2 linked regions of the Drosophila melanogaster genome follow. The protein of the gene in region 1 purifies or fractionates together with the protein of each later gene. This does not show direct contact. Each region holds a gene or a part of one and is shown in the gene's direction. Other genes may lie near its edges.

Region 1 (5,290 bases):
AATGATGATTCTTGTCCTTTAGTTCTCTTCCCTTTGGTTCCCCTTGTTGCATATCATTTTGGTGCTGCTCTTTTTCCAGTTGCTTCTTTGGCTCAACCTCCATCTCTTGTTGTCTCCTTTGATTGTGTTTGAGCACCTCGACTTCCTGCGCCATATGCATGTGATAATCAAAGCTACTGGCCGACAAACTGCCGTACACCGAGTTGGTTTGTGATTCCCGCCTTGAACTGGAACGCGAGCTCTCCACCCTTGAGCTGACTTCTGATCCCAATCTGGAGCTATTTGGCGAGTTGAGCCTGGAGTCGTCTCTTCTGTAACTGCTCAGCGATTCCCTCCGCGAGCTACTCACCGATGGCCTGCGAGAACTTATCTGTGGATCTTGTACTCGCGAACTAATCCTTAAATCGTCTTTCTTACGCCTGTCAATTGATTCTTCTTCTTCCATTATGGAGTCAATTTCGGTATCATTTCTATTGTAACTGCATTGGGTACCTTCTGTTGTAAAATTTCCACGAATATCTTTTGCTTCAGAACTGCCTTGGGTTGACTCCTTTTGCGAGCTGCTGCGACAGTCCGTCTGACAAGAGCTAACTTCGGAATCCTGTCTCCTGGATTTACGTTGGCACTTCTTTCTAGGATCTCCTTTATTGGAGCTCAATGAACTTTCCATTCCAGAGTTTAGAGACTTCGTGCGTTCGCTGCGATTGACAAACGTGCTGCAAGCCAGTGGCGGCGTTGGCTTATCCAACATTGGTGACGGTTCCTCGGCCAAAAGGGGCTGCACTCCATCCAAATTCGCCTCGGGTCGCTGCTGTGTTGGCTGACGCCAGCTGCAATCCTCCAAAACGGATCGCTCCAGCGTGCTGATGTTACTCATGGACATTGCCCTCTTGCAGTAGCCCACATCGGCAGAAGGATCCCACTCCAGGCGTTTGTGTGACTTAAGGACAGACTCTGGTGTCTGCGTTTTTTTGTTTTGCATCTGGGGCGACTTGGTAGGTGTGCGTATGTCCTCCGCGGATTGGGACATGGTTTGGGTGACTGCTACGGAACGAAAACTGGGGCTACTGGCCAATACAATAGGAATTATAGTGTATTCATTCGGTTTCGTCTTAGTTACTTCCGATTTCGGTGATGTGAACTGACTGATTTTGTGCTTACTGGGTGGTGGTGAAACTGACAGTTCCCGGAGCTGTTCCTTTGCTTCCCCCCGTTCGTCAGGTGAACGATGATCGCTGCTCTTCGTGCGACGCCTGTGGCCTGATTCTGGTCGCGATTCATGTTCCATGGAGGCACATCCTGGCGGCGGGACTGATCCCAGGGCACAACTGTGGGTGCTGCCACTGGCTCCACTGCTTGCCGTCGACGAAAGGGCCATGAATCGATCTAATTCCCGGTCCGTGGCCATTGCGCTGATATATTCCCTAGCTAGTGGAGGAACGCGGGATGATTCCGCCAATTTGTTATGGCGAGAACCGGACATCATCACCTTTCCGACTGCTCCTCTCTTCGCTCTCATGGTCGAAAAAGTTTATTCCCCTTCAATATGTCAGTTCGCCACATGGAAGCAGCGTTAGAAACTAGTTTGATGTGACGCTAAAATCATTCGAAAACAAATTGAGCCACCTGATATCGAAAGTTATCGCCTATCGGTGGCGATAGTTGGTTAGATGCCTTTGTTATCGATATCGATTATTTTGGTTAAAATTACATTACATTACATTTTCCTAAAGTACATACTGAAATGTTAAAATCAATGAAAAAAGCATATATAATATATATACTATTATGTACATAATTCAAATAAAGCATTTGGTTAGTTGATACAAGTGAATAAGTAAAAAATTTTATTAACAGCAATGTAATATGGGATTAACAGGGCCTATTGAGAACCGGTTCGGACGCAGTGTTGGCTAACGATGCAACCGGTTCCGGTTGTCTGTGGATTTTCAAAATGGCATTTGGTGTCGTACTGCGTTGTTTATAATTGCTCCTCGCTGCTCTAGAAAAACAATTTGAATCTGATTAAAGAAACTTAAGATATACACATCGACTTGTGATCGACTGAATAATGCTGGAGACGAAGAGCATAGCTGCATTGGCTTTCACGGAGACGCCGCGCAAACGCAAAAGGGAGACGCTCTATAAAAATGCTGCCCCGCCCCCGAATCCGCAGCAACAACCCCCAGAAAAGGACGCACAGGATGCAGCTGTCGCGTCGACAGAATCCTGCTTCACCAACGCCGCCTTCAGTTCCACGCCCAAGAAGCTAATGGTGGCTCGTCGTCGTTTGGCCAAGGAGAATAGCCAACCCAATCCGTTTCCCGGCTTGGAGGTCAAGTCCATAGCTGATCTGGCCCAGAAGCAGCAGCACCAGCAGCATCATCAGCAGCAGCAACAACAACAACAAAAGCTACCCACGAATCCTTTTGAGGTCCTGCGCCAGCCGCCCAAGAAGAAGAAGCGCGAGCATGCCTGCTTCGAGAATCCTGGCCTGAATTTGGAGCTGCCCGAGAAGCAGTTCAATCCATATGAGGTGAGTTCACTAGTCTAATCGTACATGGATGTACTTTTTGTCGCAGTTAAGTTACAGTAGAAATCATTCATATGTGTTTGTTTTCTAAATAAAACAATATCTTTATAATCTATATATTAAAAACTACATAAAAATCATACATTTATTATATATAGCTATAGAATATTATTATAACTCAGCCATAATATTTTTAGGTCGTCCGCTCGGCAACCACGCCCGCCAAGGGCTTCGTGAATCCTGCCCTGAATTTGCGCGGCAGTGATGCGCCGGCCTCGCTCAATCCCTTCGAGATCCATCGGCCCAGCGAGGCGTCCGAGGCAGCCTGCAATCCCTCGGGTGTGGCCAATCCGGCACTGGCCGATAGGGATTCGGAGGAGCAGCTGCCCACCAGCCTGAAGATCGGCTTGCCATTCACGCCAACGCTGGGCTGTCGCATCGATTTTCACGGCATGTCCCTTACGCAGCTAACGCCTAGCAAGCTGCTGGCCGAGAAGCTGGTCTTTTCGCCCGTTCCGGCGCCCAAACGATCGCTGGGCGCCATCAGCGAGGAGTCGTCTATGGACATTGGCAAGGAGCTGGATCGCTATCAACTGGAATTGGAGAACAGCATCAACGAGGCGAAGCTACGGAAGAATGGCGTGCTGGTGGATAGAGAGTTGCCCAGGAATAGCTTGGAGGTGGAACTGCCCAAGAACACCAAGGTCTCCTTGGTCATGGAGACCAATACGCAGGAGCTGATGATGCAGGAAGTGGTGACGGTGGACACTCAAGTGGAGAGGCGTCTGGTTTGCACCAGACGACGCACACTAACCGAGATTAGCGAGGCTTCCGAGGTGGAAGAGGACACGGAGAAGCTGCTCGAGCAGGACCGCGAAGCAGAGGTGATTCTCGAGCAGGAGAAGATTCTAGAGCAGGAGATGGTCTCAGAGCGGGAACGACATTTAACGAGGGAGAAGCAATTGAAGCAGGAGAAACTCCTAGAGAGGGAAAAACATTTGGAGCGAGAGAAGCTGCAGGAGAAGCTGCACGAGCAGCTCAGGGAAAAGCTCCAGGAGAGGGCCAAGCATCTGGAGAAGGAGAAGCTGGAGGAGGAGGAGCTCCTGGAAAGGCAGCTAGAAGAGGAACGGGAAAAGGAGCCAACCGACGGCGATGTGGCCTATGCCTCCGAATCCGAATCCGACGACGAGCCCGATGATCTAGACTTCAAGGCACCCGCGCGCTTCGTTCGCGCCTACAGACCCGCCGCTCTGCCCTCCAAGGCGGCCAGCAAGGAGTCGCTGCAGTCCATCGGATCAAGCAAGTCCGCCAAATCGGCAGAAGTTAAGCCCAGTATCGGAATGAAAGGCATGATAAGAAAGTCCATTCGAAGACTGATGCATCCCACGTCGCACACCACGCCATCCGAGGTAAAGTCCGAGGACAAGGATGAACATGGACATGGACAGGGCCATGGACAGCACAACATACTCAATAGCATTCGGCACAGCCTGCGCAGGAGGCCACAAAAGGCGGCCGAGTTGGAGGAGCAAATGGAGCCCGTTCTCGCCGACGTCTCCATTATCGACACCAGCGAACGGACCATGAAGCTCCGCTCGAGCGTTGCCCAAACCGAGTACATGACCATCGAGCAGCTGACCAACGAGAAGAAGCACTCACTGCGGAACAGCATTAGGCGGTCCACGCGGGACGTGCTGCGCCATGTGTTCCACAAGAGTCACGATGCCTATGCAACCGCCAAGTGAGCAGGTTGGCTCCACAGATTCAATTGGTGCGTCGATTTTTAGGGGATTTCAAATGGCATTTCTGTAACCGAAAGCATTTAAATTTATTTGTTATTATTTTTGAAATGCGCCTTCCCCTTGTTGAATTGACCCAATTGACTTCTTTTCAATTCGATTTTTCAGCACCTAGTTAAGTTTTTAATTGCACCCAAAGATTGTCACACAAGACCAGCGAAAAAAGGAAAGGAAACCTTATTTCATCTGAAAACCACATCATCACCTAGTTTTTAATCAAGTTTTTTTTCTTAATTTTTCAAGCGAACTCTGCAAATTAATTTGCACACTGTTTATAGTTTTAAGTTACTTGATGTTTGCACGTTTATTCATATATGTATGTATGTATGTTTGCCCATATATCTTTATATATATATATATATATGCTTTCTAATATATATAACATTTGTTTTTTTATACATAAACGTGTGATTTCCTATTCTTGGACCGATTTTTCCGACTAATTTGTGTGTACAGATGCATCAATTTAATGCTAATGACTAGCAAACATTTAAGTTGATAAGTTAATATACTTGCTTAGCTTATGGACATTTTTGTATAGCTTTCAATTATTCATTATCCCGTTTGTCCGGACATTTCTCTCTTGAGCGGACTGCCATCCTGGAGCACACCTACTTGTAGACAGTTTGGAGAAGGGGTCGCCGCCGCTGGTCGATGGGCTTGTAGGCGTGCTGATAGACACTGGCCAATCGCCAGTGCTCTGGATAGCCGCCCTGACCCGCTCCGCCCGCTTGGCTTTGGAAGGGCGGCACCAGGGTTTCGATGTCGTAATTCTTTTTGGCATACGGCTGCCGGGGGCGTGGCACCACCAGAACCCTACCACCGCCACCGCCACCTCCTCCGCAGCCCGGTTCTATTCCCACGAAATCACCGGAGGCATTATGCTTGGGCACTCCGGCGCGAAATGCCGCCTTACTGGTCAAGCAATGTCCGTGTCCGTGTCCATGTCCATGGTGAT
Region 2 (6,231 bases), about 13 Mb from region 1:
CCCAGATCCGGCTTCCAGTCCTTCTTTAGTGTGTTCACACAGATCTCCCCGTTGGCGGCCACATTCGGATGAAAGATCTTGGTGAGGAAGTACGCCTTGGGTGGCGTCAGCGGGAAGTCCTTGTTCAGCGTCAGTTTGACGCGGAAAATTCCAGCGGCGTACGGAGTGCCAGCAGGTCCATCGATCAATGCCTGAATATCCGTCACATCGCTCTCATTGATTAGCACCTTGATGCCTTCCGGTGGCGTGGTTTCCATCTCCTGCAGCTCCCTCATCACCTGCCTTATCGTCTGCGGCGACAGGTTCTCCACATTCGAGTATTGCTGCAAATGGGGGAATGGCATTAGTATGGAATGGCAAAAGTTTATATATACAAAAATTGATTTTAATGACAGGGTTGAGTCATTATTTCTAGTTGGAATTGTACTTATTGGAACATACGAACTTTAAAAATGGATGGCAAGTACAGTACAGTACTTGTAGGCAAGGATTATTACATACAAACTTAACTAACAAAATCACATGTCTCCACAAACAGGGTATTTATTAATGAAATTCATACTCTTAGTATGCTGGAAAGTATTTGTAAGGACGCGATTTTAAGCTCTCACTACTAAACCATTCATAAGATTAAGAAGCATCTGTTGGATAGGATTCTTTACAATCACGGATACAACTTCTTAAGAATCGTTTCGTATTATTATTATTAGAATGCTAACAATTATGTGAGGAACATGCTCATCCTACCGAACTCATGATGTCTGAATTTCCTGCTGCTGTGCGTGTGTGTGTCTGTGTTGATGCGGGCCTGCGCTGGTGTGCGTGCGAATCGCTGTCTCAAGGTTTCAGTTTCGTCAGCTTATTCCTGCAGCTGAGCTCTTCGGCTCTCGGATAGTCGCAATTTCACCGCCTTTTCCCAGCTGCCTTGGAAAAGTGGTCCCAAAATATATGAATATGTGCGTTGTGGGCTGGCTTTAACTATTCCTTTGCGTGTAGACTCCTTATGCTTCCTTTGGCCCCGCTAGTCTCCTTGTCTGTTGTTTGGGTTTATGTTTTCACACGCACTCGTTTAAAGACTATATATATATATGTATTTGGTATAGCACCTCCTCTCGAAAATCTTGATTTTTAGTTTTTCTAGCGACTTAAAATTTTGTTTCGTTGGTTGCTTTTGTTTTGAAATCGATTCGCTCAACTTTGTCGTAGCTGCTGTGTGACCTATCTCGACTCTGGCGTTCACATCTAAACAAATTCAGTTGTCTAATTGGACACTTCACGCTCGACAACAACACACAAAAACAGTTTCATTTTACAGTAACCCTCGTCGCTGGCGCTGCGCTACAATTGGGGCATATTCGTGCTGGCGTCTTGCCTGCCTTCGATTTAAAAGCGGGTTTTTATTTATTTATTTAAAAAACGTCTTTGATTAAAACTGAGCATTTAAATATAGCTAATTCTTGTCTTGTAACAGTTAAGCCTCTTTTTTCGTGCAAACAGCAGCCACTTTGCAAATGTAGCGCATCTGAAGATCCACCCAGCCCACACAAACAAACTGTCTCTACACTAACGCAGCAACATGGCTGCTCAGACTCTATCGATATATCGATATATGCACAACATCGGTTCATGCCTAAGTTACTCTGGGAAATATTTAAAAACAAACAAAGAACATACCGTTATTAAAAAAAAAAACTTATTGTTGTGATAAATTCAAAACCTTTGCTAGCTATATTGAAAACAAATTATTATTATTTCTAAGTCTTTTTAGATACTTTCATTGTTGTTTAAATCTATTGCTTATAGCATATTTGTGGTATTTTAGAAAACTGAAATGGTATATTTTGGTTTTGCATTCCCCACGGTCACTCTGGATCTATTACCATCCGATAACCGATAGTGCCTACCAATATCGAAGTACGATAGTGCCCGATAGGTTCATCCATCCATTTTTTTTATTTAATTAGTTTTAATTTAGATTTCTAACTCTAATTTATTGGCGGCCCCCCACTATCGTCGCTCCCCGCCATCGGTACGCTGCACTTTGGTTCGGTTTCGGTTCGCATCGGGCGTATCGGTTCGATTTCGATCCTGAAGATCAGATCAGAATCTGCGGAACTCAACTGCCGTGTTTTGTGTTGTGTGTGAGGAACGGAGAGGAAAACTGTCAGTGCACTCTTGATCGGGCGGATCGGAGAAAATGTCGAAGAACAAGATAAACACAACGTCCGCAACGGCGGCCAGTGACACGAATCTAATCGAGGTGAAATCGAAGGTGAGTCCTAACTTTCGTGGCCCCCGGATTCCACGCCCCTTTCTGCGGCGCTGAGCTGCTGATTCATGCGCTCAGGAATGGGATTAATAGCTTAAATTGGAGTTCTGTGCGTGGAAAGGGGGTCTTTAGTCTGAGGAGCAATGTGTCTACCAATTTGGGAACTCCTATCTGTTGAGCTCGATTGTGTCAAAGCGGCCAGAGCAGGGATTAATGCTTGGAGTGCGAGGTGTGAGGAGCAACTGGTTTCCATCTTAGAAGCACCCCAAAAGTGACAATTTGCCCTTGCGAATGCATCTTACTTGTCGGAATTCCTGAGCTCTGATATGGATTGTTGCAACACCCTTTATTGCTTGGGCTCTTTGCCTGAAAACCAATCTGTTGCGCCTTACTCAAAAACTACCCTGTTTCGTTCATTTTCTGTAATTTTACAGAGAAGGAAACTTCAGTTATTAATTAGTCAAGGTACAATTCTTCAAGATAAACTCCAGTAATAGCTATAAGGCAGTAGATGTACTGCAATTCAGTGAAGGTCCCATTAAATTAGTAAAATGTCTGCATACAATTGAATCAACAGGTGATGCTGATGAACAAACTATACGGGTTTCAAAAGATTCAGCCCCTTTACTAATCAATACGTATCCTTTAGTTCGATGCAGAGTTTCGGAGGTGGAGCTTCAAGCGAAATGAGGCGGAGCAGAGCTTCGACAAATTCGCATCCCTCATTGAGCAGCTGCACAAGCTGACCAACATCCAGTTTCTCATACTCTACATCGATCCGCGGGACAATGATCTGTTGCCGATTAACAACGACGATAACTTCGGCCGGGCCCTGAAAACAGCACGTCCACTTTTACGGGTCATTGTGCAGCGAAAGGGTGAGTATGGGTATGCATAAGATACAATACGAGCCACTCAACCACAATCTTTTCGTTCACTCTATAGATGATCTTAATGAGTACTCTGGCTTTGGAACGATGAAACCGAGAAACCTCATCGGCAGCATACTGATGGGCCATACGCCAGTGAAGACAAAGGCGCCATCGATATCCATACCGCACGATTTCCGTCAAGTCTCGGCCATTATAGATGTGGATATAGTGCCGGAAACGCATAGAAGAGTGCGGCTACTGAAGCACGGCAGCGATAAGCCCCTGGGATTCTACATACGGGATGGCACCTCTGTCAGGGTGACGGCCAGTGGGCTAGAGAAGCAGCCGGGCATTTTTATATCCCGTTTGGTTCCGGGCGGTCTGGCCGAAAGTACTGGCCTGCTGGCCGTCAACGATGAGGTGATCGAGGTAAATGGCATCGAAGTGGCTGGCAAGACTCTGGATCAAGTCACCGACATGATGGTGGCCAACAGCTCCAATCTGATAATCACCGTGAAGCCGGCCAATCAGCGCACACTGACGTCCACACATCGCGGATCCTTTTCAAGGAACAGCCAGCTGTCCAGTGGGTCACATCACACTAATAATACAAACACCTCCGACGAGATCGAGCACGACGATCAGGACGATATTGTGGACTTAACGGGCGTCACCCTCGACGAGAGTCCAACGTCCACGTCAGCCGGCAATCACAACCATCAGCCGCCATTATCCTCATCACCCTCGTCGCACCACCAGCAGGCAGCCTCCAATGCGTCCACGATAATGGCCAGCGATGTCAAGGATGGAGTGCTGCATTTGTAGGATTAACCCGGCGATACAGCACCTCCAGCAGACGCAGCCAGAACTTAAGCAACGGAAAACGCGAATTCATCGCTGAGAAGTGCAGAGGATTTTCAGTTTATCAGACTTAACTTTCCTTAAGATCGAATAAGTTCGTTAAACTCGAGTCAATTATTTAAAGTTATACAAGTTAGGCCAACTTATTCACATGTACACTGATCGCTTGTATATCGCTCACTTACTAAAGCGACTGTCATAGCTCAACCAGCCATGATTTGAAAAGTCACCTTATAAAATCTATTGGTATTAGCCTGAAAGCCTGATTGATTGAGTAAACAACATATCGGCCATATCCCATTCATTTCTTGTTAATCCTGGCCATTCAAATTTAACGTTCTGCAAAATTTCCAGTCCGATTGTAGGTGAGCAATATATAAAACACGATTGTATATACATGTGTAATCATCATACGACTTTCCTCCATACATTCCACGAAACACTCAAAGTCAAAGAAAACACACCTATTCATTTGCACGTTTTTGAATGCAGTCTCTTGTTTTTATCTTTTTTCCTGGCATATATATATATGTGTATTTAAATTTGTAAGATTTACGTCTTGTTATTATTCTTGCTTGTTGTATTAGACTAGAGTGAGACAGCTAGAGGAGAGAGTGAAATAGAGAGAGGGCATCAAATGCTGAAGGCAGATCAATTTATTTAACTTAACCATTTGAAACGGCAATAATTGTAACAAAATCACATATACGAGCACGAATAATTTATAAAAAAAAAAAACATTCCATTTTATGTACTGTGACAAGTCGGAAAAGCCTAACAAAATTATATTTCCTGATTTGTAAGCCTTGTTTTTAATTTGAGCCGATCATTTTGCGTATATCTGCTATGTTTTGTTTAGCTCAATTTCTTATTTTTTCGGCATTACTCATTATATCTGTTTATTTTAAAAACCATTTGTAATTTTTAACTTTTGTTTTTTCGTCATTGTGTCCAATACTCGTCCAAGTTCTTTGTTGTCATTGTCATCACTTAGAGTTATGGAGAAAGGATAGAAAAACGAGGAGATAAAGTTAACAAAACGTTAAGATACAAACGAAACACCAACAGCGCCTTCGCCTTCAAGAGAGCAATTCGATACTTTTTATATATATACAAGAGAATATATAAACGAATACAATCTATGTTATGTACGTACCCCTGTACACACAATTGAATTGAAGTCTGTGTATTCGCTTTAGTAAAATTGAGAAAACGCCACTCACGGCAGATGGGATGCAATGCGATCTGCTCGACTTGAAGTTAACAATATTAATATTTATGGGTCGCAACGGGCATAACTAACCCCATACGAACGTGTACCCTGGGTAGATAGCAAGATCTAGGATAGACAGCAGCGAATCTGAAACTATAACTAAATGCGTATCGCCGCCCAACCACTCCCCTCATATACCCATTTCACATATACCCTTGCATTATCGAGAAATCTGAACTTACATCGAACAAAAGTCGCCAGAATATCCCGATTTCCAAGCAAACGCATGTATATATATATATATACAAAAGCTAATGTGTATTCCCGCTAAGCAACTGAAAAGACCGAAAAGCAAATCACGAAAGAAAACCTTATATTTTGATGTATGTATTATTATTTTTTAATAAACCTAAGAGAACTTGTAACCGATCTGGTGTGTAATTGGTTTTTTCCTGGGAGGCTATAGCAAAACAATGTAAGTTTATTGTTTATATCACAACCAATTCGAGGCGTTAAAGTATACAAAAAAGTTAAAAATGATATTCGGTTCCTGCATTTATAAACGAAAAAATTGTTTCCCTCTGTAAGCAATACTTTTCAATTCAACTGAATTGCTTTCACTTATTTTTAGCTTACAAAAATCAATTTAAATACATTAGCCGGGCCTTAATCAAAAAAGATCTTACATATACCCTTTTGAAGACTGCGAATTAAAAAACCAGTTAACGATATAGTTTTTGTTCCATTTGGGGATTCGATTTATTCGACCACTCTTTTGCTTGCTGAATATGTACAATTTGCTTAAGTGTGCATTCGCGTTTTGGGGCTTTAACCGTAATTGGTTTGTTCTTACAGGGTAAAAATTATAGCTAATTAATTGTACATTCAAAACAAAAATGAGTCATCTAATCAAATTATATTCAAGAGGAAGATTGTGGAGTTCGGAGGCTGAGAATGATTATCAGTCTAATCGCTTTCTGTCGCAACATTTGCGCCATTGTTCTCCAGGCACTGCC

Evidence for each region.
Region 2: the proteins of pon (region 1) and par-6 purify together in Drosophila melanogaster (affinity purification with western blotting, with the first as the bait; one study listed by BioGRID). This does not show direct contact.

What each region holds. Positions count from the first base shown.
Region 1 is NC_004354.4:4,634,382-4,639,671, forward strand, and holds pon (partner of numb), read left to right. Parts: upstream 1-1,936; 5' UTR 1,937-2,071; coding exon 2,072-2,536; intron 2,537-2,730; coding exon 2,731-4,278; 3' UTR 4,279-4,731; downstream 4,732-5,290. Other genes in the region: Alms1a (alstrom syndrome 1a), read right to left, coding at 1-1,519; CG3081 (uncharacterized protein), read right to left, coding at 4,944-5,290.
Region 2 is NC_004354.4:17,701,454-17,707,684, forward strand, and holds par-6 (par-6), read left to right. Parts: upstream 1-1,898; 5' UTR 1,899-2,197; coding exon 2,198-2,272; intron 2,273-2,918; coding exon 2,919-3,147; intron 3,148-3,214; coding exon 3,215-3,966; 3' UTR 3,967-5,643; downstream 5,644-6,231. Other genes in the region: CG8188 (uncharacterized protein), read right to left, coding at 1-323, 748-756; CG8173 (uncharacterized protein), read right to left, coding at 6,182-6,231.